2 linked regions of the Lytechinus pictus genome follow. The protein of the gene in region 1 binds, or shares a complex with, the protein of each later gene. Links are inferred from orthologs where the notes say so. Each region holds a gene or a part of one and is shown on either strand. Other genes may lie near its edges.

Evidence for each region.
Region 2: nucleosome-remodeling factor subunit BPTF-like (region 1) and inorganic pyrophosphatase-like share a complex: the UniProt entries of both Drosophila melanogaster proteins name them as parts of the NURF complex. The link is inferred for Lytechinus pictus from reciprocal best matches to the Drosophila melanogaster genes E(bx) and Nurf-38.

What each region holds. Positions count from the first base shown.
Region 1 is NC_087254.1:2,978,010-2,993,949, forward strand, and holds the start of nucleosome-remodeling factor subunit BPTF-like, read left to right. Parts: upstream 1-7,143; 5' UTR 7,144-7,169; intron 7,170-7,533; 5' UTR 7,534-7,754; coding exon 7,755-9,181; intron 9,182-9,627; coding exon 9,628-9,833; intron 9,834-12,110; coding exon 12,111-13,273; intron 13,274-13,622; coding exon 13,623-13,767; intron 13,768-15,940. UniProt on the Drosophila melanogaster protein: Histone-binding component of NURF (nucleosome remodeling factor), a complex which catalyzes ATP-dependent nucleosome sliding and facilitates transcription of chromatin.
Region 2 is NC_087262.1:17,327,010-17,343,578, forward strand, and holds the start of inorganic pyrophosphatase-like, read left to right. Parts: upstream 1-8,444; 5' UTR 8,445-8,653; coding exon 8,654-8,852; intron 8,853-11,215; coding exon 11,216-11,277; intron 11,278-13,067; coding exon 13,068-13,124; intron 13,125-16,158; coding exon 16,159-16,278; intron 16,279-16,569. UniProt on the Drosophila melanogaster protein: Component of NURF (nucleosome remodeling factor), a complex which catalyzes ATP-dependent nucleosome sliding and facilitates transcription of chromatin.

The sequences.
Region 1 (15,940 bases):
CAAAAACTTAACCTTCGGTTAAGATTTGGTGTTGACGACGCCGCCGTCGGAAAAGCGGCGCCTATATAGTCTCACTCTGCTATGCAGGTGAGACAAAAATGTTCTGCTCGCGTTTTACGCTCTCATTATTAATGTAGGAAGATCCCCAATTACTCATCGATCTTCATGATTTACAAAACATGTCCCGTTTTTAGGTCTAAATTTCGATATTTTTTCCGCTCGCCCTTCGCGCTCGAATCAAGTGTTTACTTGATACCTATCCTGTTCACGATTACAAAAAGTGTTTAGAATTTCCATTCTTTGGCATTATTTGATTTGTTAAATGTGTAGGCCTAACGTCTTAATGCCTAACTGCAAGCAGTCCTTAACAGGGCTCTTTTTAATCACTTCAAAACGTACGCTCGCAGTTATTATTTAGTTGCATACACATCTTGTTCACGATCACAAACATTACCCGGAATATTCAATTTTTAGGACAAAATACATAAATCTAAAACAAAAAACCAAATTAGCTCACGCTTCGCGCTCGCATTTAAACAAGGCTTATGAGATTATTAAATATTTATGTTGATTTATAAGAATAAAGCTAAGAAGTGATTATTAGGACTACCCCTTCAAAGAAAAAAAATCAACTTCGAGCGGCCGATCGGGGAAAATATGGCTGAAAAAAAATTCGCCCCCCTCCCTATTGGCAAAGGCTTGATCCGCCCCTGCAAGGCAAAAATGCCTCTAAAGACCGAACAGCTATAGGCAACACTGCCCCCCCCCCTTTTTTTTTTTTGATTGATTGATTGATTGACAACGAATTTATTCATTCCAAAATTTCAACAAAGTTACAAAGTAAAGCAAAATATAATATAACATTTTGAAATGAAATAGGAAACTTCTGGAAAGCAAAGCTTGTTATTGAAGGTTTCCTTTAATAAATAAGACTTAATGCAAAAAACAATATATATATATATACTAATCATATCGTTCTTGTTGAAGTTCAAAATAGATACAATAAACAAGTCATCATATCTTTCTTGTAAAAATTATATGTAAAAATTATATGTAAATCCTTGTTAAATGTATTTTTTTTTTTTTTACATATTCTCCCAAATAAAAAATAAACAAGGCTGGATTATCTTACAAGATATGAAGAAAAAGTGAAAAGGACACACAAGACAAAACGTTACGAAAACAGGACGTGACAGAACGGTACAAGATCAAGACATGACAAAAAGTTATACCAAAACAAGACAGACGAAGTATTACAAGAACAGACAAATTGAAAAAAAAGACAACGACAACAACAAAACAAAGGACAAAAACGAGTGAAAGAAAGAAAGAAGAAGGAAAGAAAAAAACCCAAAAAAAAAACAGGTAGAGCGAAAGAAAGGAGACGGGAAAAGAAGCGAAATAAAGGCAGGGTGGGGGAGGGGGGAATCCAGAAGAACAGAAGATCCACAAGATATCCTAAGTAGGATGAATGATGTGAGTGTTATAGTTATTGGTTAGATTTTTTTTAAGTGCTCTATTGAAGCTATGAATAGTTGGCTTATTTCGTAAAGTTTGCGGAAGTGAATTCCAAAGTTTGATACCAGAAGATATAAACAGTTTGTTTGTTAATAATGTCCTCGTTCTAGGTAAATGGAAAAGTCCAGCAGATCTTGTAGGGTAGTGATGTACATTGATATTTCGTGTGAACATAGAATAAAATACGTCTGGTAGTTCATCTTTACTAAGGTTGAACATAAAAGATCCAAGATTATAATGGTAAAGATCATGTATCTTAAGAATTCCATGAGTTTTAAAAAGAACATTCGTATGTGCCCGATAATGAGAATGGCAAATAACGCGCAAAGCTTTTTTCTGAAGTAGTAAAAGTCTATTCAAATGAAAATCAGCACAACTCCCCCATGCAATAATACAAAAGTTCAAATGCGGGAGTATCAGCGTAGAGTATAAGTTTAATAATATACGAGTCGGAAAATAGAATTTAACTTTATTTATAATTCCAATATTCCGTGAAATTATTTTGCATGTGTTATCTATATGTTCTTTCCATGACAGTCTGTCGTCGATAGTTACTCCTAGAAATTTCGTACTTAATACTCTTTGAATATTAATATTATCAAAAATAATGTTACCTGGGAGTTCATCAATGATATTGCTGAAGAGCATGTATTTTGTTTTAGTGAGATTAAGCGATAATTTGTTGGCTTTGATCCACTCTGAGACTAGTTTTAATTCTTTATTAAGTGTGTCAAGTAAATGTTTGGGGTCCTTATGAGAAAAAAATATATTTGAGTCGTCGGCAAAAAGAATGAATGATAAAGTACTTGATGATTTATAAAAATCATTAATGTAGACCAAAAAAAGAAGCGGACCCAAGATTGAGCCTTGGGGGACTCCACATGAGATAGATTTGGGAGGGGAATCTACATTTGCTATGGAAACATATTGCTGCCTACTGCTGAGGTAGTTCCTGAACCACTCCAAGGCTATCCCTCTGATTCCATAATAATTAAGCTTGTATAAAAGGATATCATGGTTGATTGTGTCGAAAGCCTTGGAGAAGTCCAGGAACACCCCAACAGTATGCTCATACTTGTCAATTCCATTGGCAATCTTATTAATCGTTGACAACAGGGCATGAGTAGTACTATGTTTTTCGCGAAAACCAAACTGCAGGGGATAAAACAATTTATGTATATTAAGAAACTTTGTCGTGCGTACAAAAATTACTTTTTCCAAAACCTTCGAAAGGCATGTCAATAATGATATGGGGCGATAATTTCCCAACACGGTGTTGTCGCCTTTTTTAAAAATGGGGATTACTCGGGCTTGCTTTAATGAAGAAGGTACAACTCCTGTAGAAAGAGACAAATTAAAGATATAAGTCAAAGGTTTAATAATGTGTATCAGGTTTCTTTTCAGGAGAATGTTACTTATATCGTCACATCCTGAACTCATTTTATTCTTTAGTCCAGAAATTATATCAGCTAGTTCTTTTACGTCTGTTGGTGTGAAATATATCGAATTTGGATTAGGGACATTAAGAAAAGATGTGAAGTGTTTAGAAGAGGCAGGGATTGTGCTGGCAAGATTTTGGCCTACGGATGCAAAATAGTCATTAAAAACATTTGCCAAGGCAAAGGGATCCTCTACCAATTCACCATCAACATTTATTTTCGTGGGCGTAGACATTCTGAAGTTACCTTGTATAACGTTTTTTATAACTTTCCATGTATTTTTAACGTCGTTTCTATAGAGGTCAAATTGATTATGAAAATAATTCTTTTTACATTTTCTCAGTATACCTGTCAGAATATTTTTGTAGTCAGTGTACTTTTTTCTATTACTGTCGCAAGGCTTTGAAATAGTTTTTAAGTAAAGGTTATTCTTTCTGTTTATTGAGCGCAAAATGCTAGGTGTAATCCATGGGGACCTTGGAACCTTTTTGTAATTAGAGCGTTTGAATCGCACTACGGGAAAAGAGCTATTCATTAATGGATTCAATTTATTCATAAAAGCGTCAAATGCATCCTCGGCATTTTGAATACTGTAAATTCCTGACCAGTCAACATTTCCTAACTCTTCATTGAACAGATTCATATTATTTTCAGAAAAATCACGTCGAGTATTATGATCAACTTTGTGTTCAGTGGCGTTGGTATCTAGTTTAAAATGCGAAAATATGGGAAAATGGTCCGTCAAATCAGAAAGAATTATTCCCGTAGAGAGAGTACTTCTGGTATTTGTAAATATATTGTCGATGAGAGTAGCCGATGTACCTGTGATTCGAGTTGGCTTGGTTATCAAAGGAAGGAAACCTGCTGTCATTATTACATCCGAAAAAGTTTGAACAAAAGTATCAGTATCGTATTTTAGTAAGTCAATATTGAAATCGCCGAGTAAAAAACACGTTTCATTGACCATCTCATGGAGTGCCAATAACCCATGGAATGTATTTAAAAAGTCATCGTGGGAGGAGTTAGGCGGCCTGTAAATCGTTCCAACCAGAATATTTTTGTCGTTGGGCATAAGAATTTCAACAAAAAGTGTTTCAATAGCATCATTCATTAGAGTAAGATCAGGCCTTAACCTGTAATCGAATTGTTGGGATACAAAAAGAGCAACGCCTCCACCTGATTTCCCTATTCTATTATTTGTGACCAAATTATAACCTGGCAGCGTATAAAAGGATAGTTGAGTAGAGTGGGAAAACCACGTTTCTGACAAACCTATCACAGAACAAAAGAGCTTAGAATTCAATAAAAGGGAACGAAGTGATTCAAAATTTTTGTTGGCACTGCGAATGTTGCAATGTAGCATTAGAAAGTTACTGTTGTCAAGTTGTTTCGACGCTATCTGTTTATCAGTAAAATAGAGCGAGGGGGTATGTTGATACGTATTATCATTAGGATCAGAAAGAGAATCAAGATTAGCTTGTGCATTGAGAGTTTGAGCTACGGAGTCATGAAAAACAGAATTTTTACATTCATCATGTTCATCAAACTTCGAATTAAAGGCAGCCTGGAAAGTATCGTGTAATTCATCATTATCTATATCAGAAAATGGGAAATTTGTGTTTACAGCCATCACAAAGGATGTCTAGGGGATCTCCAGAGATAGGGAGGAGTATGCAGATCAGCTAAACGAAATAACACAAGACATGATATTACGAGAATGACAGATACGAATACAGACAAATAACGACAAACACAAAAACAAAAACAAAACAAATATACAGTAGCACTTAAATCCTAGGAACCTTCAAATTATAAAAAGAGGGAGAATATTCAGAGCTGACTATATAACAGGAACAAAATAAGCAAAGTATTTTAGGCAATATTACAGACATTAACCCTTCGAGGGAAGACGTAAAATGCGTCTATATTTTCCATGTATATACATTTCCATGAGGTGGAAGAAGAACCAACAAGCACCAGCAATAATGAGACAATTGAAAGGTTATTGGAGGAACATGCAAGCCCTTTAAATCGCAAAGCATAGCAAATGAACTAATAATAGACATTACGATAAGATACTTCGATATAAAAAGATTGGGACAGCAATCAAAATAAATAAAACGAAAGAATGATAAACATCTGATACTGTATTGTGTTGGATATGTATCAATAAGTCCAATATGTAAATAATGTTCATATATACCATTTGTGTAAGAATCTCCCAAAAGTAAGACAATAGGAGGAATTAATTTGATACATTAGCATGAAAAAAGAAAATTCTGCATAAGAAGTTCTTTGCAGTAAATCGCTTTGTGTACAATTCAAAACCTAACAAGGGTGGTGCATGCTCCCCCACAAACCCCCAAGATCACACACAGATTAAAACGGCAGATATAATTTGAAGGAATATTGTAGAAACAACAGCAAGGAGGAGAAAGAATGACCAAATGTCGTGTATTAAAGAAAAAGCATACATTCTTAGACAAATACCCATAATGATAAAGAAACATGTAACGATTGTATAAACTGCGAAAAGGATAACAATCATGTATTGTGCGACCACACTTCAAAAAATGAACCAGTCCTTCTAACAGTCTAACGACTGGATGGAGGGGCTTCTGTTGCATACTGGCATTTCAAGACCCTAGAGTGAAAGGAATAATTCAATAGTGTTCCAACATGTCAAACGTTGGTTTAATCTGTACTTTATGTAACTTGTTAGGAGTATGATTTTCAACGTTGTACCTGAGTAAACAATGGAGCGGATTTTGCGTGATATGTCAAAAAGAAACACGTACAGCATACAATAACAACGATCTAGAAGGTTCATCACAAAAGGGTCACCAAACACCAGTCTTCAACGGAATATAGATCATCTTATTTGATGGAGGATATGAAGTAATTACACTTGTTGTACATGACACTTATTAATATTATAAAACCTAAGAATACCAACATGTAGCGGTGTAATTAAAAGCCAGATTACGTGAAGTGAAATCGATGATAGTATTAATTCACAAACTCTTCACATCAATTTTAGATAAAATTTTTATCGAAACCATTCCACGGTCCGTCTCGTCCGCGTTGTTTTAGTTTTGTAACTAAATGCAATACAAACATATCCACCTCTATGCATGGGGCCTATTTATTTATTCATTTATTTATTTATTTATTGATATATTCATATTCCACGAATTCTCAAAGTACATATTCATTTACAGTAGAAATATAAATCATCTGCATGTGCAGTTTTGAAACGTACTGAAAAAAATTTAAAAAGTGGAGGGGCCTACTTTAAGCAAAGCTTTAGATGCAGACCTCCTATCAAAATTATATACAATGAGGGTAATGTATGATATGAATAAAGTGAAATAATCAGCAAAATTCTGTAAATTGATATAGATTTAGACACTGTAACACGAATGTATATTCACTATATACAAAATTATAGTAACTTTAAAATAATCAACACTTCCGTGGATATTTGATTAAATCAGTATGAATTCAGAAAAATAAATTGATGAGTAATTTAAATCGGTTCAGAGAAGATGCCTCTTTTATAAATGCTCTGTCCAAAGAATTCCTGATTTTTGGTCCTGTGAAAAATATACTCTTGCTCAAAAATACTGTTGTTTTAGGTAAGTGATAGTCATTTGACTGTCTGGTATTATATATGAATGCAAAGTATTATTTCTCAGTACTCCTTTTTTCTGAAGTAGAAATACTTTGTCGAGTCTCGTTTGAGAGGCATTTCCCCATGCTAGAATCCCATAATTAAGATCAATGCAAAATACTGGAAAATACAAAAACAACAACGCGCTGAAGTTCGATCTGTGAACAAGTCACTGCTCTGGATGCAGATCACACCGTCACTTTCCTCGAGTGAATTTTTGCAAACCAATCTAAATTCTAACCACTTCTTAAATTGCTGATGCTGTCTTGAACTCGCATTATTAGATCACTGATCTGTATGTACGTAATCACGTTGACTCCATAGAGATGTTATTAGTATATCTCTATGGTTGACTCACACTCATCAAATTGGTAGTCCTTTCACCGATTTACCAATATCATTGCTAACTTCATCCGCCTAACGCGGTAAAAAATAGTTCACTGAATTTCTCCCGCAAGCAAAGTTATGTGGCCGAGTTCATGAAACAAAACCGCTGATTGGTTTATAGCAATCAGTTGTGAAAGGTGTTTCCCCGCAAGGTCTCATAAATATAAATGGTAGCAAATAGGTTATTTGTAGTCACCGTCAATTTATATCTTAAGTTTTGCCACATCTTGTTCAAATTAGATAATTGTGACCCGGGGTTCATAGTTAAGAGGATAACGCATCAGATTTGCTTGGAAAATGCAATTGGGAAATTGGCACATATGCAGACTAAACGCGCACCAATAGGAAAGCATAATCGGAAAGGAATAACGTTGGAATGAAAAATTCATTATTTGTTATAATTTCAGACGTTTGTCACTAGATCATGTAGATCAGATGCAGTCAATCATTTATGAATTTAGAGGTATTATTTGTCATGATGTTTGGGTATTTGTAAACATGTACTTGGGCATGAAGGGGGCTCGCCGAGCGATCGATCGCGATAGCGGTAATTGAATGCATAATTGGTCACGTGGTCATCTACATCAGAAAATGGCGGACAGTGCAGAACTTGCGTGCGATTCGTAAATATAATGCCGAAATCGTGTTTCACCGCGAAGCTTGTGGATCTCAAACCTAAGTTAGGTGTGCGTTAGGTTACCAGGCACCCGCTAGCAGCCGATAATTTGTATTTCAAGATGCCGAGGGGACGTGGACGTCCGCCTAAGTCACTTGTTGATTCATTGGACGAGACGCCGGGAAATGCAAAGAAATCTGGTGGAGGAGCCGGAGTTGGACGGGGCAATGATGGCCAGAGCAACGGCTCCAGTCCTGCAAGTTCTCGCTGTAGCACACCGGTAAGTCAAGCCAGCAGTACCGGCGCAGTTGGCCGAGGGAGATCCCCGAGATTACGTGAAGCTGCGAGGCGGAGCAAGCGGCTAATTCAAGAGGTCATAGAGGCTCAAAGAAGTCCCCAGGCTAAGGCAAGTCCATCAAGCAGTAGCACAACAAGTACTGGAAAGGGGCCAGGAAAAGGGAGAGGGAGAGGTAAGACTCCCACAACACAGAGTAAACCGGGTGCAAAATCAAAACCAAAAGGGAAAGGGAAAGGAAAAAAGGCAAGGCCAAAATATGAAAGTTCAGATGAAGAGGGAGTTGATTTCAATGAGGAATTGTTGCAATCTTCGTCAGAAGATGAGATTAGTTCAAATAGTTCGCAGTCTGAATTACCAGATGATGATGAATTAGAAGAACTAGAAGAAGACGACAGTGACGACAGCAGCACGGCTGCCAAGAAGAGGTTATTACTTTCACGGACAAATCGGCCTTTCGCATTGCCATTCCTGGAGGCAGAGCCAGAGGAAATTCCTCCAATTGAACTTCCAAAATCTAGCACAGACCTCCTTATCGACAATGAGGATATGATGAATGCTCTATCTGTGTATGAAGTTCTTAGGCATTTCAGTCAACAGTTAAGACTCTCTCCATTCCGTTTTGAGGATTTTTGTGCAGCTTTGTGTAGTGAAGAGCAATGTTTGCTCCTAGCGGAAACCCACATTGCTCTGTTGTACAATCTTGTGAAGGAAGATGAAAGTAGCAGTACAACGTTTGGTCCTCAAGACCAGCGAGACAGTATCAATGTCCAGTTCTTGTTTCTAGATAATATGACGTGGTCTGAAGTTGCAAGAGCGTATGTTGAAAGTGACAAAGAATTCCGTGGTGCATTAAGTGCTCTAGAAGGAGAAAACTACCCTTTTGCTCCTGTGAGTGACAAATTAACAGTGTTGCATCTCCTTTGCGACCAGTTCCTGGCATCGAACAGAGTGCGTGAAGAGATTCTGAGTGAAGGTGCAATAACCTATGACGACCATTGCAGGTCGTGTCATAAATTGGGAGATTTAATATGTTGCGAGACATGTTCAGCCGTTTATCACTTGGAATGTGTGAATTTGGTGGAAGTACCAGAGGAAGACTGGATGTGCTCGGTGTGCAGGCAGCATCGCGTTCTTGGTGTCTATGACTGTATCTCAGAGGTGGAGAAGAGTGGACTCCTCATTCGACAGGAACCCTTGGGTTATGACAGGCATGGCAGAAAGTACTGGCACTTTGTTAGGAGAATTGTTGTGTGAGTATTTCTTCCTACTATCTGTCTTTCTTCCCATTAACTTTAGACATTGATGGCTATAAAGGGTGTGACCTTTTGAGAATCTGTAAACAATATTTCAGTCTTAAAAACAAGAAGGCACATAACTAAGAGCAAATGCATTTCCTTTTTATACTGATTTAACTTTGAAATAATGAAGAAATAAGAAATAGATTTTGCCTTAAACCTTTGAAGTGTAATATGTGTATTTCAGAAGTAAATTTCCCACCAACCACTTATCATCTCCCCTCCCTGTAAATTTGAGATGGGCTATAAACATAAGGCTTATTGAATTTAATTTGTCAAACATGCATTGGACATGAGATAAACATTATACACTGTACCCTTGCCACTGGAGGTTTATTTCTCTAAAGTTTGCATGCAGTATATCATAATCATTGATACTATTTATCTTTTAAAATATGCAGTGAAGGTGAGAACGAGCTATATTACTACTCCACCAAGCTTCAATTTGAAGAATTGATGCATTCTTTGGATGCAACAAAGTGGGAGGAGGACTTGTGTCTTGCACTGCAGGATTGTATGGCAGAGATCCTTGAACAGATGCAGAGGACAGAGGAGCTGACCAACAGCGCAAGGGGTAACCAGAAGTCAGTGCTTCAGAAGTCAACAGGTTGGTTGGTGCTGTCTTTTGTAAAGCTTGTCAGTTTTATTTCAACTAGTTTCTGTTTAAAATCAAAGTAGGCCTATGTTAACTAAAGAAAGTGAAAAAAAAGGAATTATGAACAAAATTCATAAGTAGCACCAAATTAAAGAGGAGGTTATTGTTTAATCTATTAGACTGTGAAGCTGTTATTTTCTGTGAAGGGTAAAAATCTTGAGAAGCTCAACAAAGCATGGTTGTAGAGAAGTAGGAGCAGCCTACTGCCTTCACAGCCACTCAGAGCTTATTCATTTGTTGTATTTGCTGTTGCTGCTGGCTTACAATATCTGTAGTGATTGGTGGCTGAAATAGCAGATTCCTCATTTAATGCATTATTTTATTGCTTAATCATTGGCTATTACATGTACCGTTGGAACTTATGAGTTATGCACAAGTCTTTCGCATGTTTGGTGTAAGCAAACTGGTAATAACTAGAAGGTCCTCTTGTTTGATTTTATATAGGATGTAGTTGTAAGAGTTATAAGTACAAAAACACAATTCACCCTCACCCTCCGTTTTCTTTCCTCCATGTAAATCTGTGTTACATTATAATTTCCTGCCCGGGTCTTTTTCTAAGAGCAGAAGAATATTATTAAAGTTGCCATCAGACTTGATTTAGTTTATTTTATTTCTGGTCTTTCCCCTTTTCTCTTGACCCTTCCCTCATTCTTATACTGTATATTCACAAGTCATAGGCTATGCAGAACAAAGGATTTACTGGGAGGGACAGGGGGCTGACAGTTTGCTGTGTAAATTGTCCATTTGAGTAAAAAAAAAACGTCTTGATATGCAGCCTAATGTCCCTGGCAGTGAGTTACTGATGTGTGTGCAGAAGGACCCTCAGAATAGAAACAGTGCTCACTCGATGAGTACTTGTGAGCTGATGTGAAGAACCACTTGTTCAAAGTTTCAGTCAGGTTTTCTGTAAGGTTACATTCATGTACATGAAAGGGGAATCCAACCCAAATAAAAACTTGTTTTTATAAGGAAAAGAAAAATCAGACAAGTTGAAAGGTGAAAGTTTGAACAATGTTGGACAAACAAACAAGAAAGTTATGAATTTTTTAAATTTGTAAATATTGGTAATCACTATACCCATGGAGACTTCAAATTGGCCGCATATGGGATGTCATAGTGATGTAAGGCAAGGACTACTCTTCCATGTACTCCAATACATATTATGGCTAAAATGTCATTTTCCCCAAAAGTTTTATTTCAAATTATATTTTTCTTTCATGAGGACATAAAACAATATACTACATGGGTTATATTTGGATGACTGCCCCAGGGGAATGGGTACTTAGGAGAAAACCACAAATCCCTGATAATAAAGTACATGGCCTATGGGAAAGTTGTCCTTGCCCCTTGTCATAATTTACTTACCCAGTTGCCAATTTGAAATCTACATAGTATTAGTGATCTCAATTTTAAAGCAGCTATAACTTTTGTATTGCTTGTCCGATTTCTTTCAAAGTTTCACCATTCTGTTTCATTTATTTTTCTCCTTCCCCACACAGCATTTATGGCCAAGGCTGGATTCCCCTTTAAAGGAAAACCAATGAAACCAGTTGAATTCATAAAACGAGAAAAATCCAAGAAATGGATCATTGAAAGATTGAATGAATAATATAAGTTTGAGCCTTTGAATATAGAGGTGACCACTAAAACTTGACCTTCCCTTTGGCAATGCAACCTAGATCTGTGGGGTCTCACACATTCAACTTCCCCATTACTTTGTCTATTTCTCTTAAATTTTCTGTTTTATCTAGTCTTCACTGTTTTTATGTTTTATCTAGTCTTCACTTTTTTTATGAGAGGACATGTAATAAAGGCTTCACTACATATCATGGATGAATTATTTAAAGCCCTTAAAGTGAGCAAAAAAAGAAGAAGATGGTTTAGGGTCTTAGGGAATTTTTTACCTAATAAGAAAGTTGTACATATCATATCATAGATCTCCATAGCATTACCATTAGTGAACTTGACATTCGAATCCTAATAAGTTTTTTATTGCTCGTCAATTTTAGTCAAACTTTCATTGATCCTATTCTTTTATTTTTCTTCTTTCACATAAAGCTAACTTGCTTCAGTGGTTTAATTCTCCTTTAATTCCTTGGATGGTACATTTAGGTGTTGTAAGCCATTGATGTGGATTCAGGTTTTTTTTTAAAGACAATATTTGCGTCAAGACTGGGGGTCGAGAATTGTGAATTGATTTTACTCCTGTGCGCATTTATTTTGTTTCAGATGAATTGAATGCTTTGAAGGCTGAACGAGAAGAGGCACTAAGGAAAGCAGAAGAGGAGAAGCGAAGGCTGGAGGAAGAAGCCGTCATCGCGCAGGCCCAGGCAAGAATGAAGGAGGAGGATGAATGGCAAGAAGAGAAAGAGGATGAAGAAAAAATGGAGGTTGATGTGGCCAAAAGTTCAAACAAGTCTGTTCAGGAGGAAGTGGTTGGTGATTCAGTAACCAAAGAAGATGAGACAAGAGAGGGGACGGGAATGAGAAGTGAGGAGCAGATGGAGCAAGGAGATCAACCTGATACCAATCAATCTGAACGTGACCCAGATTCAGAGCTATCAGAAAAGAAAGAGGAAGGGGATAAAGAGAACAAAGATGAAGCTGATCAGAAGAATAAAACTATTGTCATGACACGGTCAAGAAATCCCAACTACAAACCCCCTCCCCCTAAAGCCACTCCTTATCTAACGTACACTACAAGCATTCCAACTCGTACAAACACTTCCCTTGTAACAGGCAGACCGAGGACCGAAGAGACACTCGTCATTAATTCCAAGGGAGAGATTAATCGCATTGGTGGAGATGACTCCGGTAAGGGTGTTTTGACAAGGGGCGCCATGCGTCCAGAATCTCTCTTCAAGCTTGGCATGGAGGGGACGTATAAATCGTACAAGAATCAGTTCACCACCAATCGGCTTGCCCTCAACAAACCCCAGCACGCTGAGGAGCGAGATCGCAAACGCTACCTGGTCAACAAGTTCAGTCTGACCCCTGCAGCCGAGTTCAAGTGGCACGGGAGCACCAACAGCAATCGCATGCTCACCATATCCACGCTTCGTCTCACCACCACGCAGCTAGAGAGCAACATCCCCAGGGCTCTCATGCACACCAACTGGACAGTCCATCGGAACAACTGGATCAAAGCCGTCCACATGTGCTCCAAGCCTCATGCCTTTGCCCTAGCCCTCTCTGTCTTGGAATGCGCCATCAAACCTGTGGTGTTCAACTCCTACTTTGCAGATGGACTAGGTCACGTCAGAATGGTGAGGACTACGGCTATGGATAAGGAGGAAAGGAAGAAGATTGACAAGAAGAGGAAGGATGATGACTTTGAAGAGATCCAAACGAACTGTAGTTGGGTGAAATACTGCTTCCCTATCAAGCATCAGGTGAGTACTTCCAGGCCAAAGCTTTGGTAAAATGTCATAGTATTATCATCGAACATACTAAGGTTAAAGAAGTCGAGTTACCATAGAATCTTTTCTCAGCTGCTAAAAAAGCTCTCTGAAATTTTGAAATTTCAGTGAATTTTCATGTGAAAAGTTAAGAACCAAAACTGATTTTCTGTTTTGATTTAATACTGGTGAACGGAAAATCTCTGTCAGTATAGTAGCACATGTATCAGAATATTCCTTAAACATTTACGAGTAATGCTTTAGTGTTGTTTTTTGTACTCGGATGTCTCAACGTATGCTCTGTATCAGTAAAGACTCTTCTTTTTCCTGTGACGATTTTTAGGTGTGGAAGATGAAAGGCGAGGAGTATCGTATCTATGGCGGGAGTGGTTTTCGTTGGCATAGCTCCATCAGGAAGAGGCGCCCCTTGCCCCCACCGAGTCCGGCTAAGATTGGTCTTGACAGGTGTATCAAAGCAGCCAAAGCTGGTAAGTCAATCGTTAAGCTTTTATATAATGAGAGGGAATGAAACCTTTGGAACAATGTCATCTTGTGTAAAAGCAGAAAAATAAGTTCAACAAAAGTTTCAGGTGAAATTGAGCAAACAATTAAAAAGCTTTAAGCATTTGACTGTCAAGAAATGCTTATGGCTGTGAAAATCCTCCCAATGTGAACAAGATGTGAGATGTTGTCACACATGAACAACATTCCTCTTTGTCACTGAAAATTCTTTTTGCTCATTCTGATGATAGGACAAATAATTCATCGATTAAAACATGTGCAACCTGTATTTATAAGCTCTCATAAAAAAAAACACACCTCATTTTGTTACATACTAGTTAAAAGAGAAATAGGTGAAATATGTCCATAAGTTATGGCGAAGTTGTACACGTATTTGTGACATTACAGAGCTTGGTCGCATTGCCAAAGGGAGGATCTGCATAGCATCAAGCTCAATATTGAAGTACTGATAACTTTTGTTGATCAATCTTATTCAATTTTCTGTCTTCACACAAGTTAACTTGTTTCATTCTCTTTAAAAGTAAAACAAGATTAAAATTCAAGTTGTAGCCTTGCATGAAATAATGAACAATTAAGTCTTTGATTTTATTGCTTGCTATCAACAAACAGCAACAAGATTCCACTTCTTCATTTGTAATATTCTTTAGGTTGTAAATTGTTATTTGAAACACATTGAGGGAATGAAATGGATTTCCCCCTTTTTTTCCATGTACAATAAGTTATGCCTAAAGCCAACATACATGTACATGTAATGTATGGTTTGAATCTTAAAGGTCAAATTTACGTACAAGGATAATTCAAATGATCGTGTCATGTTTCCAGGTGACTTAACAGGCAACTTTGGGATTTGGGAAACATTATTACTCAGTTTTCATGTATTTTTCTACCAGTTTAGGTTGAAATTTGTGAAAAATCATGACTATTCAATAGGTGTGCTGATGATGTCATTGCTCCACTTTCCCCTATTTTATATAAAGTCATTATTATTTCATGTTTTCATACACTGTACAGTATGTGTGTGTATGTATGATATATCTCCCTTCAAACAAATTAAGAACGTTCCACAGTTAAAGTGAAATCCATTTTAACCACACTTTGCACATACATGTAGATACTTTAGTACCTGAATATTTGAAATATGCATAAGTTAACATGGGTCCATGTGCTTGATTTATTGCAATAGAGCTTCAAAATTCACAGAATGGATGTTCATAAGGATTGCACATTCAAACGATTTGGCATTTTTGGGCCTCACGAGGTCACTACAATGAGTTTAAACCTCTATTACTCAGTCAAAATCTATGAAAATTTCATCAAATTTTTCAATATAGTTAATCAAGGCTCCACATAAACTTTAAATAATTTTTTTTTGGTGGCCCGATATTAAAGTTTGGTGGCCCGAAAAATATAAAGAAAAACATTAATTAAAAATGAATAAAACAAACTTCTGAAATATTAATTCTGCAGCCACTACCACTAAAAAAAAGTTACTTTCACTTTGTACATCTTGTATGTAAATCTTGTTTGCTGTTATTTTACTTTGCTAATTGATTTGTGGTAATAAATAAATTGTTCTATTGTTGAAAATATGAAATGATTGAAAGAGAATAAATGAAAGAATTGTATTGTTCCCAGGTTGTGTGGACTTTTTTTTAAATCTCCGTATAGACACACACTCATAATAGTAAAGTAAATAAATAGTGCATAGCAAACTCAGATAGATGTACAAAACAATGATTTTTTCCCTTCTTCTTTTTTGAATCCTAAAACCTTCATTTAGATTATGCAGGCCCCAAATCCAGTTTATTTTCTCTTTTCCAGCATATTATAGCAGGAGAAATTCACAGAAAAATATGCTGCAAAATTATATCAATGCATAAAAGGGGGAAACAAACAAAAATAGTTTTTAGAATAGTATATTGAAAAAAGAAGAAAAAAAATAAATAAATAAGTGAAATAAAACAAAAGAAAGGGAATGGAGAAAGAAAAAACAAAGAACAGGAGAAAAAAAGAAAAGAAAAGAAAAAATTTAGAGAAAAACCCAAAAGGAAATGAAAGAAAAATGAAGAAAACAAAATTAATAAAAATGGGGAAAATTATTATTATTATTACTATTATTTTTCAGTAGAAATATATTCT
Region 2 (16,569 bases), on another chromosome or scaffold:
GTGGGGGAGTCGGGTAGGGTGCAATGCACTCTTTGAAGTGTTTTGGGCAAGGAAACAAGTTTAAAAAAAGGTAAAAGATATCTTCAAATCAATTTTACTAGCTAAATTACATGTGTTCTTCATGATTAAGGTCTACTTTTATTCACATAACTATTTCAAAGTTCTGCGCAAATCCTTTTTCACTAACTTTTCAAAAGTAAGTGGTGCTCACTCTGACCAGCGGAAATATTTTTCGACAGTTATATCGTCATTTGCTTAAATGGATCTGTACCAATGTTAAAATGTGGAAAATCTTTCAGGAAAATACAAATGCATAATTTTAGAGGATTGTTTTCTAAGTGTAAACTTTTTTATACGCACTGTATAATGTCTAACATGTCCATAAGGATGTCTTCTGTGGTTGGTAAGCATACATCTAGTCATATGTGTTCTCAGCGGTGGCAAACAAACTTTGAAACATTTAAGAAATAATATGCAAAGTTTTCATCCTGAAAGTTTATTTGTTTTTAGGAATGAACAAAGTTTCACAGTTATTACATGGATTAAAGATTGAGACAAAAGATATTGAAATGACCAAGGCGACAATATTCATACACATGGTGATGTCCTTTGTCAGAGTAGGCCATATACAGTTATGGTTTACATGTTAGAAAATAATAGGTTTTAAAAAATATTATACTGTTTTTTGTTTTACGAAGTAAGAATGCTCGTCTGTAAAATTTTAATTAATTTGTATTACTTTATATTAATTTGTATTATGTTTTGAATGGAAATGGAATAAAGAATTGAATTGAATTGAATTGAATTGAAAGTATAGTTCAATTCATATTTAGTTCCTGCTCAAATTGGTATATACGTATAAGGAAAAAAAAAAATCAGGAATAAAAAGGTGTCCAATGGAAGCGGGAAATGTTGCCAATGTCTACTGAATAGTGCATGATGTGACTATAATCAATTGCATTTATTTGGTTGTCTCATCTAGCACACTTGATTGCATTTGATAATTTGATTAAATTCAAACAGGTGATCATGTTTTGACTGATTGCATTTACAGGTGAGAAATTTCATCCTGCATCCAGAGCCATTCTCCGTCGAGAACGGACTTCTCACGCCGACATTCAAAAATAAACGAAACGTCATCAAGGATATGTTTAAAGAGAAGATAGATCAACTTTACTCAGAAAACTAGAAAATACAATGGCATGTAGTCACTTTGATATCAGTTGGTATCCACTTCGTGTAGGCTAGTTTGAGCATGGGGAGGTGCACATCCTGCACTGTAAAAACTGTGGTGTTAAAACTGACACCAGTTGGTGTTAATAGAGGACCACGCCCTGAGGTGTTAAAACTACACCCTTGAGATTGAACATAACACCAAAGAGTGTAAATATAACAACCAAAGGTGTTGTAATAACATCTATGGGCGTAAAACTAACACCACCAATTTAACACCGGTGTAAAACAACTGGTGTGGTCCTCTATGTACACCGGTTAACAACACAGTTTTTGCTGTGTGTGGAGGTGGAACTTAAGGGGTATGGTGATGCACATCTTATAGGGAGGTGGAACTAAAGTTTGGAAAATCAGTTGTTGAAAGCAAAAGAAAGGCCGCTTTCATTTTGCTTGCCGGTGTCGGAACTCCTCTGCCTCAGCGGCAGGGTATACCCCCCCCCCCCCGCGAACGCCCTCGTGGTATTGGTGTTAGCAGTTGGTCTAATTTTTAAATCATAACACCATCACGGCTATAATGCCACTTGAATCTTTTATCAATTTGGTCTGATTACTGTTTGGTCCAACCATTACTTGATTACTCGGTCTACTTTGGGGGTATTGACCTTCATAGATCATTAAGAACTATGTCCATCCCCATATTTTGTATTTCTTCTGTATTCATGAAATACTGCACTATAACTGATTTATATGATTTCTGTGATGTTTCTGTTTTTTACTTAATTTGTAGAATTTGATATCAATTTGATATTAACTTTCATTTAGTCAGGCATTTATAATTATTATTTCCAGGTGGTCTAATTTTCGCTTCATCGAAGTATATCTAATCATAATTAGGCCTATAAGGTGATGAAGTGGAGTGAGAACATTAAACGAAATGGCTAAAGCCTAGTCGGAAATTAGACAAATTGGTAAATGAGGTAAGTGTCAGTTAGTCCCACTGGCGGATCCAGTGGGGAGGCACATCCGGTCCTTGCCCCCCCCCCCCCCACCTTGAGAGGCATAATCAAAACTTGTAATGTAAATTTGCCGTTCTACTACAAGTGTGCCCCCCCCCCCTTTGATAGTGAGGAAATTTCTTCTTTTTTTCTTTCCTTATCAAATTTTTTTTCCGTGGACGCAATGATCTGAAACTTTGGGTGAAATTTTCCTCTGGGACATGTGCCTCCCCCCCCCCCCCTTATACGGAAAATCCTGGATCGGCCCCTAGTTAGATCAAAATGATTAGTAGACGAACTGGTTTTGGACAACTACGATTAGACCAAGTGGAATGAGACCAAACGGAAAAAATAGACAAAGCCAGTGTAGACCAAATGGCAATAGTTACGGATATCTCATTTCTATAGGTGTATCGCTGTCTTTTGAATTTGAGTGCGAATGTGGCAGTGTGGGGCTATAGTCTATTTTCATTATATTTATAAGCATTTTCTACCAGGGTCAAGTTAAACAAATCTTGCCATCAAAAACAATTGAAAAATTGGTAAAAGTAAATCAAATGCGAATGATTCCAGTTGCTTTACGAATCGTGGTTACTTTGTTATGAAATTGTTTAATGTAATAGGATCATTTGTCCCAACAAGTAACCCAGCTAGACTCAAATCATGAAAATTAATAATTCAGAAATAATAAGCCAGAGTTGTAATATTTTATATGTTTATAATACATCACAAAGGAAAGAGACAAGTATTTAAAACAAAAATAATAATGGAAGCAGTGGATTGTTAAGAGTAAAGATTTATTTTTAGAGACAGTTCCTTAACAAGGATATCAATACAGCTTCATAGTACATAGTAGGCCTATAAGTGTTTTGGTGGAATAACAGTATGTTTCAACTTCCCTGCAGTAGATATGCGGAGTAATTACATTTTTGAGGAGACATGCAGTATATCCATGAACTTTCAGTAATTTAGTTTACAGCAAACAGTAGAATATGTAACCCCGCTATGCAACTCAAAAGTAATAACTTTTTTGTATATTTATATATAATGGGAAAAATTTGATGTGTCTAATATTCATAGTTTTATTCATTTTGATTCTTAAAGGTTCCGGTTTCTCAAAAAGCACGTAGCGCGGACAGTATAACAATGAGGAAAATGTAGATAATCAATATACAGCCGGGGTAATAATAGCAACCCTTTGTATCCTCTAGCAAAAGGCGCTTTATACATCAAGCTATTATTATTGTTATTATAATGTTGATTTTTACTCGAAATGAAATAAAATCTCCAAGCATGTGAAATTGCTTTTTTTTAGAGCTCCAACTTGGGGAAAATTTTAATCAAGTCTTTCAACATGGCATTCGGATCATTCTGTAACGTGAGTAATCGAGTCATCTCAAAGATTTAGGTTTTAATGAATGAAATGAATTAATGAGAAACAGCATGCTTTGTGATGATATAGAGACTTCTACATTATGGCTTATAGTATGACTTGTGACTCTTTCATCAAATCTTGTGTATTAATTGAAATGTTTTTTTAAACAACTAGAGTTCATTCAAATATTGTTATCTAACATTCTTATATTTTAAAGGATAATTGTTATTAAATGCTAATAAAAAAATTGCTGTATAGGCATATATACAAAAGGTAAAGTTTGTATCTTATTCTTGTTTGACTGTCTTGTACAACATTAATTCTATCAGTGTGGAAATCAAGAATAAATTAAATTTTCTGAAAGACTTTTTATAAGCCTTCCCACACTTTAAAAACACTGAGTAAAATTTTACCCAATATTGGATAGAAAGGGAACATGCATGTTTGCTGAGTATTTTTTTTTACCCCATATTGGGTTATTTCAACGCAACATATTGCGTAAAATTTACAAGATATTGGGTATCTGTTACCCAGCCAACAAGCATGTTCCCATTTTACCCAATATTGGGTAGACCCTTTTTTTAGAGTGCAATGAGTATAATGATGATCACAGTAATGGCATCCGCCGTGTCTTTGCAGGCGAACATCACAACCATTTTAGGCGCCGTTTAGGCCTACACCATGATCAATGATGGGGCTAAAGCGTTTTGCAAGGTCGTGAATGTCAGAAGTAGCAAAGTCCAATTCGTATTTTATGCGACAAAAGTGCACAGAAAGAGAAATGATAATGTTCGGAAGCTTCGACAATATTTTGCAGGGATCGCTTCCAAAAATCTTAGGTGAGCTTTTCGTTAGCGGAGTAGTTTTACTTTTTAACGTCTATTAAGTGGGTCTATTTTATACAGGAGCCATATCGCTTTCATTAGTGAATAAAAGAGAAATTTCCGCGATAAAAGTCAAATTACAACCGTTTGCAAAAACTTATATAGGCCTACGACTATATTTGCAAATAGGGCAGCAACTGCTCGCGGAAAAAGGATTTCCAAAGAAATTTTGCAACAATGAAAACTGTTTATGATTTTTTTTTCTTTCTCAAGCTTTTACGAATCCTTTGCAACTCTAACGTTTGCGTCCTAGCTGGCAATACCTTCTCAAAACCTGCATCGGGGTGGGGGGGGGGGGGTACTCGCGTGTATATCGCATAAGGGGATTTGCCGCAGCTCTATAGTTGGTCGTTTTTTGCAACAACAAGAAAAAATCCTTAGACATGGGTCTTGCTATATTGCAAGAAAGCCATTGGTCCTATTTTGCAGTTGAATAATCCTTAGACATGGGTCCGTTTCTGAAAAAAAAACCAAATATGCCTATACTTATACGAATCCCCGGGAAAAGCCCCCGGAAATGTCTATGTTAGTCCCGGTCCAGAGTACGAGTAGCCGGTACCCATGGACGAGTAGATTCTACCTGTATAGTATTTCCACATCTTATTACGATAGCAATGGGCACCGGGGTACGTCACTCTAGGCACACTCGGCCGACCATATACAGTAGGCCTACCCTATATAGTGCATGCGTGCAGCGCATGCATAATTAATTATTGTTGTATTGTATTTATTCTACATTCATAAAAACATGCAAAGTACGAACAAAATACATCAGATATAATTACAAAATAAAATGAATACATATGAATGGCTAGATTGCCCACTCACATTGGTAATTATTACCACTCTGTTCTGCCTAGGGGTCCAGAACGTAATAAAATAGATCAAATTGTATGATTGCAACAACAAGTGTTTGTAATGGCAAATTTTCAGGTTGGAAAATCCAAAATGTTCAGCTTTTCTGAGCACTTCTTTAGAATCAATTTGTAATAATGAAAACTTGATATGCGGCCTAACTTATGTTTGTATAATTTTTCGAAACCGGATATTCTAAGCTTCTATCTATTTAATTTAACACTCAATGCGTACGTGGAATTGTTTTTTTCCCCCAAGTCTTCCCCTCCACTTATTTCATCTACTTGTCTTCCTCTCCTTTCCATTTTCCTTTCCTTTTTTCTTGTTTTTCCCTCTCCTCTCCTTTCCAGTGGCGTAGCTACGGGGGGCCCGTGGGGCACGTGCCCCCTGAGATTTGGTGTGCCCCCCCCCCCAGGTGCCCCCCCCCCCTGAAAAAAAATTGGCAGAGCCAAAAAAAAGAAAAGAAAAAAGGAAAAGAAGAAGAAAGACAAGAAAAAAAAGAAGAGGAAAATAAGAGGAGGAAGACGAGTGAATGAAATAATGTGAAGGGAAGACTTGCAAAAAAAAACAAATCTTTCATGTTACTTTACAAAACTTTTGCTTGCGCTTCGCGCCAGAATTGCCCTTTCGATGAGATTCATATCTTGCTCAATAGGCTGATATGGAGCAATTTTTTAAGTCAATATACGAAATATATTTTAGCTCGTACATCGAGCTTTCATCTTTTTTTTTTCATTAACAAATTCAAGTGCTCTAGCTGTAAAATGTCACTTTTATATAGTCTACATATCAGCATTTTTAAGCTCACGCTGCGTGGTCAAGTTGTTTGATTTGCCAAGTTCCTATTGTCTACGTGTATTCCATAATGTTCCATTAAACTAATGTATTCATACTGCCCAGATTCTAGGTCTTAATCTAAAACATGCGCGATAGCCTGCATGTTGTGTATATTAAATGTACTTAAATTATCCAGTTTCACATCAAAATATCAATAATTGTCTGCTCACTCTTTACGGTCGCATTATTAATGATACCCAATTAACTATATCCTTTTTATGATTTACAAAATATGAATAGAGTGTCCCGCTTTTAGGTCTAAAATTTCAATTTTCTTCCTCTCGCGCTTCGCGCTCGCATCAATTGTTTAGTAACATACCTATCCCATTTATTAATACAAAAAGTGCTTAGAATGACAATTTTTTAGGTCGGAATGTCAAAAAAATTTGCTCGCGCTTCGCGCTCGCATTATTGAAATATATACCGTCTTCGTGGGTAACTGTAAGCAGTCCTTAACAGGTCCCTTTTCGATAATGCTAGAACAGTTAATAAAAATTTCTGCTCGCGCTTGGCGTTCGCAGTAACCATCTAGTTACATACGAATCTTGTTCAGGATCACACATAACATTGCCCAGAATATTAAATTTTCAGGAAAAAATACATGAAAGTAACAAAAAAATCGCTCGCGCTTCGCGCTCGCACTTTTTATAAGGCTTATGAGATTATTTCATGTTTTTGTTGTTTTATAAGAATAAAAATAAGAAGTGACTGATCGGGGGAAAAATAGGTGAAGATAATTTCGGGCCCCGTCCCCTATTGGCGAAAGTCGGATCCGCCCTTGTGACACATACACACACAACGGAAAAAATTGTGCCCCCCTGAAAAAGCAAGGACCCCCCAGTGCCCCCCCCCCCCAGGAAAAAAATCCTAGCTACGCCACTGCTACTTTCCACTTTCCTTTCCTTTTTTCTTGTTGTTCCCTCTCCTCTCCTTTCCATTTTTCTTCTTTCTTTTTTTATACTTTGTCCCCTCTCCCTATTTTCATTGGGCCTTGAATGTGTTTCGCCCGGGGCACGCGCCCCTGCTCCCTTTCAAAAATCCTACGTACGCTACTGTCTTCTACCCCCCCCCCCCTAGAAAAGGCCTACTATAAAAATAAAAATAAATGTCATTAGGACTAAATTGACACAGGCCACAGTAACATTTCACTTTTTGGGGAAGTCTTCTATTTTTTTGTTTGTTTTTCAGTGCTAAATGCTTGCTTGTCGATTTTTTTTTTCTTAAATGGTACGTAGGCCTTCTCCAGGCTGAAAATAATGTGATTTGAACAGACAAATAAAAATCCGACAAACAAAGCACTCGAAATTTTATGAAAAATGGACAAGGAATAAAAAATTTATGACATTTTAGATATTCTGATAATTTCTGTAAAACAATGAATATTATGCATGTCTTCACGAATATTCAATGAGCAATCTGATATTTCCACGTGTTGTTTTGTATTTTATAACATAAGATCTCAATTCATTCGAAGTGTGACCTCGAAGAAAAAAATGGACTGGCAATTGATTTAATGCATTATAGATATTCATCACTGCAACTTATTTTATCATAATTGATAAGGGTGCCATATCATGATAAACACACAGACAGACAGAATAGATAGATAGATAGATAGATAGATAGATAGATAGATAGATAGATAGATAGATAGATAGATAGATAGATAGATAGATAGATAACTGGTTTATTGATTAAACATCATTGAGGCATAGCCGAATTGCGATGAGTTTAAATAGGCATGCATTACATTCATACAAACATAATAATACAAAAGGAAACATAATAATACAAAAGGAAACATAATCACGTATCGTATATTCACAATATCATAAAAAGGAAATGCATTTTAATTGTTATAGATAGGGCCTCATGCAATGGAAAAGTATATACGAACTTTCTACAAATTCAATTTAAGTATTGGACCATATGAAATCACAGAAGGGGAAAAGCACTGCATGTAGAGTGCATAAATCATACATGTATAGTCAATCACAATTTTACATAAAAAAGAACTTTACTATAGGGTTCATTTTGAAAGTCCATTTACTAAGGCGCATGGGTAACTCTGCGCTCGATCGATCGGATGCCCCTGCTCAAAACTTGCATCGGCTCCTAGCAAAAATGAAATCCTGATTTGAAGGGAAAATATTTTATTTCTCTTTGTATTTTTTGCGGGAATTATGATATCGGTCATTTGGTGGCATGATACCACGTGCATCAATATCACTGAAAAATACCATGCACATGCATAATCGCAATAGGGGGGCGTGTCCCCTTTTTTGTTATGAGCGAGCGGCATGCAGATATATCGATTGAAGGAAAAAAAACACCGGTAGCAGTTCTTATGAACTTTAGACTTTGGACTTTGAACTTGGATTGCAAATCTGTACATGCAGCCAACGGATACATGTGGAAGAACTGCACAGTTGTACTTTGGACAGAATAATATCACAATCAAGATTGTCAATCATCGTTTTTATCTGCAAAGATACCATTAATTAATATCGGCGCATGCGTGTAAATCTGTCCACATGTTGACTCCGATCCTCCGTCGTGTCCTCTCGGCTGCTTTTTCCCAGAGAACTTATTCCAAGATCTCTTTTACTCGCCATTCTCGACCTCGAATAGATTTGTCAAAACTTCAGTTCAGTGACTGTCGAATTTTAGCGATGGCTTATTCAGTTGAACCCAGAGGTGCACCCAATTCGCTCGACTACCGTCTGTTCTTCAGTAAGTACCTCCTACGGCTACGGCTCTTCTCTGCAGCAGTGAGCAGGTCGTCGGAATCGCGGCCAGGCGTTGCCCATCCGGGCGGCGTCAGTATCTTGAGTTGACCGCCCACTCGCTCAGCTCAGGAGGCCGGAGGCGATTTGTCATTGACATGTCGGAGCTGGAGTCTGAAACACAACTCACCTGTGGCAGTGCAGAGTCCCACTTAGCCAGGACTGAGGCTCCTAGACTAGAGAGTGAAAATCATTCACTAACGACTTAACGTGTGCTTACTCTCCATGGATGGAGCTTGGGAGTGGGATTGCGTCCCATTCATGTGCGTGTACCGCGAAAAAAACTGAAATTTTTGCCCCCAAGGCCAAGTCCAAGATTTATATTTTCGTTCTAAAAGATCTAACGTTAGCCCTAAATCATGTAAATGGGATACAACTTCATTTCCGACATTTATATGACATTGATTTCATTTTCAAACAAGAATTCATTAAAAAAATGAGAAAAATATTATGAAAAGACGGAAAAAACCTGCCGCGATCGCGATGTTTACATGTACGTCGCCATCTTGTTTCTTTTTGTTCTTTGTCAAGATACATGACGCATATCGGATATGCGTCTTGTATCTTGGCAAAGAACAAAAAGAAATAAGATGGCGACGTAAACATCACGGCAGGTTTTCTCCGTCTTTTCATAATATTTTTCTTGTTTTTTTTAATGAATTCTTGTTTAAAAATGAAATCAATGTCATATAAATGTCGGAAATGAAGTTGTATCCCATTTACATGATTTAGGGCTAGATCTTTTTTTGTTTTAGAATTAGAAGGAAAGGAGAAATCTCAGGGCGAAATTTTCAAATTTCAATTTTTTTCGCGGTACATGCACATGAATGAATGGGAGGCAATCCCTGGCTCCGTGGTGAGTAAGCACACGTTAGTGACTGACTTTAGAGAGTAAAAATTTTCTACTCTCTAGGAGCCTTCTGGCTAGTCCCACCGAACTTATCGTGCATGCTGTATGTAGTGTTCGTGAATTTTGCAAAAAATTTAGTAAAAAATCAAAAATGTAAAGTTTCAAAATTTCTGGGGAGGGGGAACTGCCCCCCCCCCCCCCCAGTGTGTATGATGTGGTTCCAAACTTCTCAGACTTTTCAAAAGTATTCATTAGGCTTAAATTTGTCCACAAAATATTCACAATTTATAAAAAAACCAAAGAAATTGTTAGGGCCTATCACGGCAAGATCGTAAACGTTTGCCAGTATTGCGATCTCAAAATTCTATTCCGATCGAGGAATGCGCGCTTTGGTGGAAAACCGTTCTGAAAAAGTGTGACCTAACTTCGTGGACCAAAGTTTTTGTGGAGATTTAAATAAAAACTCAAGCTCAAAAGGTGAGATATTTATATCAGATTGATGACAAAATGCTATAGAATTAGTACCATATTGAACTCACATTTTTTTATGATATCTGCTTGCAAACAAAATGATGATATCGTGATGCTTGTTGAGAATATCAAATTTCTTCGGAACGGGCACTAAAGGTGACAAATTTGCTGATCTTTTGTCAATATTTTCGTGAATACTGAACTCATCGTAAAAAAAAACTTATGCCAAAGGGTAATTTCAGGTCGCTTTTCACGTTGATGTCAGATTTTAAGGATATTGGCTAGTTTTTTAGATAGTGACCGTTTGCGAAGTATGGACACACAAAGTTTGGAATCACTGCCATACTGTGTATGGCCATGCACCGCAGTGTCCCGGAGATCAAGAAAAGGGGGGGGGGGGGGTAGTATCATAGCCATAGGAATAAAGGCTGGTGTAAAAATAAAACTGTAGACTGACTGTACTGTAGGAAGGCGACAAGTTGTAGAAAATAGTTGGTGAACTGGGCCCGATTGGAGGCCACATGCTTGCTGTTTATGTTACGTTAGGGAGAAATGAAAAAAAAAATGTCCTAAACATGATATTCCCCGCCAAGTGTGATATAAATTCCATGAATTTCCTTTTTTTATGGAATATGATAAACAAATTTATTTATCTTGTCAAAGGAGTTGAAAGGATCGCACAAATGAAATCAATTTCAGAATTTTGAGAAAATTGCATTTTATATGACACAAGATATGGAAGAGCTGATTGTCTTTCTGTGGCATCATAAGATCAAAACTTTGTAATATAATATTAGATTGATTTTCATAAAACTTTCGCCAATTGAAATTTTTCTCAAATTTTTCTGTTTTTATTAAAATCAACTTATCAAGGCAGACTTCTTACAAGTATCAATCATAAATGTGGACTCTTATTTCTATCCTCTACACTTCAGCTTAGATACCTATTTAGATTTTTGGTTTTCCTTCTTTTTTTTCTGTATTTCTAGGGAACAGCGATGGTCAAGTGATTTCACCATTTCATGACATTCCACTATATGCTGATAAAGATGTAAGATAATTATTAATTCATTTTTTCTCTCATTTTTAAAAATTTGTATGATGACCTTTTTTTTTGCTCTGTGTTTACATCATCATAAATTTACATATCTTTTATGGTTCTCTTTCTTACATCATGCCATAGCCCATCTATTTTCCCACATTTTCTTGTAAAAAATATTGATTCTGTGATATTTACAATAATTGCACTCTTGGAATTCTTCATATTTAATAAAAACAGAAGGTTAACATCAAACTTGCTGTTGCAATAAAAAAAATACATATATCTTCACATTTGTTTTAATATAAGGCCTTACTATGTGTATATCTTATAAGGTTGGATGGGCAATTGTAGTCAATATAGCTCTTGCTGAATATTTGCTTCATTAAATTCTAGTGAGTTCTGAGTTCTCCAATATGTTCAAAGATTAAAGGACAAGTCCACCCCCAACAAAAAGTTGATTTGAATAAAAAGAGAAAAAAACAAAACAAGCATAACCCTGAAAATTTGATCAAAATCTGATGTAAAATACGAAAATTATGACATTTTAAAATTTCGCTTAATTTCACAAAGCAGTAATATGCACATGTATCCTGGTCTGTTTGCAAATGAGGAGACTGATGACGTCATCAACTCGCTATTTCTTGTGTATTTTATTATATGAATTATTCAAATTTTCCCCTCATTGTCAAGTGAAAGACAGATTTATTACTCCATGAACATGAAGAATTACCTTGGTTTGAACATTGTATGGTTCAGTCAAGTTAGTCCTTATTGTAAAAGTGGTTTCTAAAAATTGAAATATTGTATAATTCAAACAAAGAACAGAAATAGTGAGGGACATCATAGACTCTCTCATTTGCATGTCACTGGATTTGAACTATTTTGTGAAAACTAGCAAAACTTTAAAATGTCACAACTTTGTTATTTCACATTCGATTTTCATGAAATTCTTAACATTTTGCTTGTTGAATTTTTCTCTATTGATTAAAATCAACATTCTTTTGGGATGGACTTGACCTTTAAAAGTTATCAGTAATTATTAAATTTCAGCGTACCTAGAGTGCACACACACGGCAGTAATTACTATATTTGTATTTGTTAAGGCAAAGCTCAAGTATTTATTCACACATAAATTATTAAGATTAATGTTTGTTGGAGTAATCAGATGGTATATTGATGTTATGAATGGTTCAAACATGCAAAGCTCTGCCAAAGATAGTCAAATCTTTATTACTGCTATACATAAAGATTTATCGATACTGCAAATTTTACGATGTACAAGTACATGTATCACATTTAATTTATTAGAGTTAGCGGTTTCTTTTTCTAATAATTATGTGGGATATCTGACAGTATGATCAAATCATAGACCTTAAAATTGAACCCTATTCCTCGATCACAAGGCAAAGGATCAATGGTAATTGGATCTAAAAGCAATGTCACCAAAAAAATAAAAAATCCCAAGCCATGGAAAACAAAACAGAGCCACTGAAATAATTGTAAGATGCAATGTATCTAATAAGAATTTGTTGGTAGTCAGACTGAAATTTTATTGACACCATGGATTTCTTTACGGGTATAGTTACAACAGAGGAAAGCATCATGAAAATAATTAATATGAATTAATATAAGCTGAATCTGTAAAATAATAAAATTAGAAAGATACGCATGCCAAAATATTTTCTTAGACAGGAAATATTTAAACTGATTATGATGTACAAGCTAAAGTAAGTTTCTTGTTTTATTAATTCAGTGTACGAACAAAATTGATTCCCTATTCCTCTAATTGTAATTTACAGAAGCAGATATTGAACATGGTTGTGGAGGTACCACGATGGACCAATGCCAAGATGGAGGTAAGTTGGAACAAATCTGTCACTCCTGGGCTCCGTAACACAAATCTTAGCGATGAATAGCAAATGTGAGAGAACACTTCTGATTGGTTCCTGGTCAGTATTTTGTGCCGAATGCGCGTGTAATGTTGATCTTGATTGGTCAGTTCATTTAGCGATTGATCGCTAATCTTTGTTACGGAGCCCTGGTCAATGTCTTACAAAGAGTTGTGATTGATCCGATCGATTTTTTCTGTAGGAAATTTGCAAAGTGTCCTTTTTGAAACAAAGATGGGCACTTTGAACTATCAAGAAAAAAGATGCATGTATGAATATTCATACCGGTATCTAGAAGATATTTTGAACAAACATGCATTTTAGATGTTGATTTTGCTGGCTTTCCATAGTTGTTGATTGGATCAATCGCAACTCTTTGTAAGATGGGGCCCCGGTATTTCTCATTCATCCTTTTAGATTTCCAAGTATTCTTTATTTTGTTTTCACTTCAAGTTCATGAACGAAAGGTAAAATCTTTGACAATTTCAGGCCCTACTAAAGTTTCTGTATTTCTAGGGCAATTTCTCTTTTCTGCGATTGGGTACAAAGTGACTTTGAGGTTTATTGGGGGGATCAAAGGCCATGGATTTAACCCCCCCCCCTCAAAAAAAAATAATTACAGGATGGGTGACGGGTCATAACCGTGCAAAGGTCATGTGCTTACCGGTATCCAGAGCAACCAACTATTTAGAAAAAGTCACAATTGTTATGATTTTCATGCCAAATTATGCCATTATGCTTTTGACTTTAATTATTTTGCTTTTGAAGTAGAATAGGTATGTACACATCTAATAAACACATAGTAATACATTGCGTAGTTGTACAATTTACTTGCCTGACAAGGCAAGCTAGTGCTTCACAAAAGTAATGTATATGTAGCACCCTAGATGAATATACCTGACAACCATCATGTAGGGTTGGCAAACTTGGCATTTATGAGCATTGTGCATCTGTTCTATCTAGTTTCAAGGGCACTGTACATCCCACTTTAATAGTCAAAATGAACAATATTTTACACAGGCTAGCTTCAATAATCTTTACTATTAGGGTATGTCAATAATTAAGAGTTTGGTTCAATCACAGAGGTGCTATAGCCCCTCACATCAATTTGTTTCAGAATCCAAAGTCACAAAATGGCAAAAGAAAGACCAATGAAAATGAGAGGTGTTTAAACAAAATATCGTTCATTATGACTCAGTGAAATTTGTGCAGTGCCCTCGTAAAGTTTTATCAGTTTCTTTTGGAACCCAGTGTGCATACTAGTATTACCTCTTCTTAGAAATTTATAGTACTACCTTGCATGTATGAAATTATGACTTTTATCTCAAAATTATGACTTTTGAGCTGCTGGATTACTACCTTGTACTTTAAAAGGTTGGCAGCTCTGCTTAATATCACAAGTCTGCAGATACACAGACACAAATTAACGCTTAAAAGTCAAGTCCACCCCAGAAAAATGTTGATTTGCATAAATAGAGAAAAATCAAACTAGCAAAACGCTGAAAATTTCATCAAAATCGTATGTAAAATAAGAAAGTTTTGACATTTTAAATTTTTGCTTATTTTTCATTAAACAGTGATATGCACAACTCATGAGACAGTTGATGATGTCCCTCACTCACTATTTCTTTTGTTTTTTATTGTTTGAATTAAATACAATATTTGATTTTTTATAGATTTGACAATAAGGACCAACTTGACTGAATCATATACAATGCTCATTCCATATGTTCAGGGAGGAATTAATCGATGTTTCACTCGAGAATGGGGAGAAAAATAGAATATTCTCTATTTCATATGATAAAATACAAAAAAAATTGTGAGTGGATGACGTCATCAGTCTCCTCATTTGCATACCGACCGGAATGTGCATTTAACTGTTTTGTGAAATTAAGCGAAACTGGAAAATGTCATAACTTTTTTATTATACATCCGAATTTTGATGAAATTGTCAGTGTTTTGCTTGTTGGATTGTTCTCTTTTTATTCAAATCAACTCTTTGTTGGAGTGGACTTGTCCTGTAAATCAAGAAATGAGTCCTTTACACATTTCAACTGGTGTGGAGAAGCCAGGAGTACAAAATTCACATTCAGCTCTTGTAGTCTAAAAATGCAGACCACTTTTTAATAGTACACATGTTTAAACAAACCAGGGACATGTGCTTGCAAACAATTTATCTAATCAGGTATGATGTTCAACATGACTTCTCAACGAAGCAGGGAATTATTGTGCTTACCAAATTTGATAAGCATATTTGGTCACAAGATAAAGCTCTCAACTATAAAGTTCTTAACAGTCCTATGTAAAAAAATCTGCTCCCTATTTTGTTTAGCAGTCTTTAAGAAAATGTGGAGCAAATTGTGATGTGCTACATGTACCCTTTGTAGATAAGTTCAGTTTATGGGTCCTACCCACACCTTTTCCTACCTGCACAATTACTGGACATGATATTTGTGCTGGCTATCAGTGGGATACTTAGACACATCATATCAAATTTGATTATATTCAGCATAACTTTGTGATTCTACTTGCAGCACTTGATAAATGTTTCTACTTCCAAACATGAATTAACCAATTATTAAAGCTTGAAAGTTGAATGTAAATTCCATCCTCCACTCAGATTCATGTCATTTTCTGAATATTGCCAGCTTTGTTTTTGTTGCTCCTTTCAAATTATTTAAAAAAAGGTCATCACATCATTGTCATCATTGACAATTATCATGATAATATTGCACTCATCATCATCATAATTGTTGTTGCCATTGCAACCATTATTTCATAAGCAGGATCATTCTTATTTTTAATGGCTACCTTATATTTTGTTGGTTTTTGCTATTATTAATATTCATTTTATTTTTAAGATCCTATGAATTTACAACCATTATCTTCACCATCATTATCATCATCATATTTCCTCCTTCTCCATCACAACCACCATATTGTTAATTTATTGATGGATCTCACTATTAACATCATACTTGTTAATTTTTTTAATGTTGAGATCGACACTGCAGCTCCCATGAACCCCATCAAGCAGGATGTCAAGAAGGGCAAGTTACGATACGTCAGGAACTGCTTCCCTCACCACGGTTACATCTGGAACTATGGTGCCTTCCCTCAGGTAACAAACACTGTTAGCTGATTCTGAACAATTTCATCAGTTTTTGCTACAAACATGAAAAAAATGATATTTCATTTGTTTATATATTTTTGTGTTATTTTCAGATTTGTACAATCTTGATACTTCTTCCCTCCTGAAAACACATGATACAATTATTTGAATTATTATATAGATTAATGATTTGAAATGACATACCATATTGGCCAACATTTTCTTGTATAGATCATTTCCTTTTTTTATGAAATCCTCATATTCACAGGATTTAATTTTTCACTGTAGCAATGATCTCAC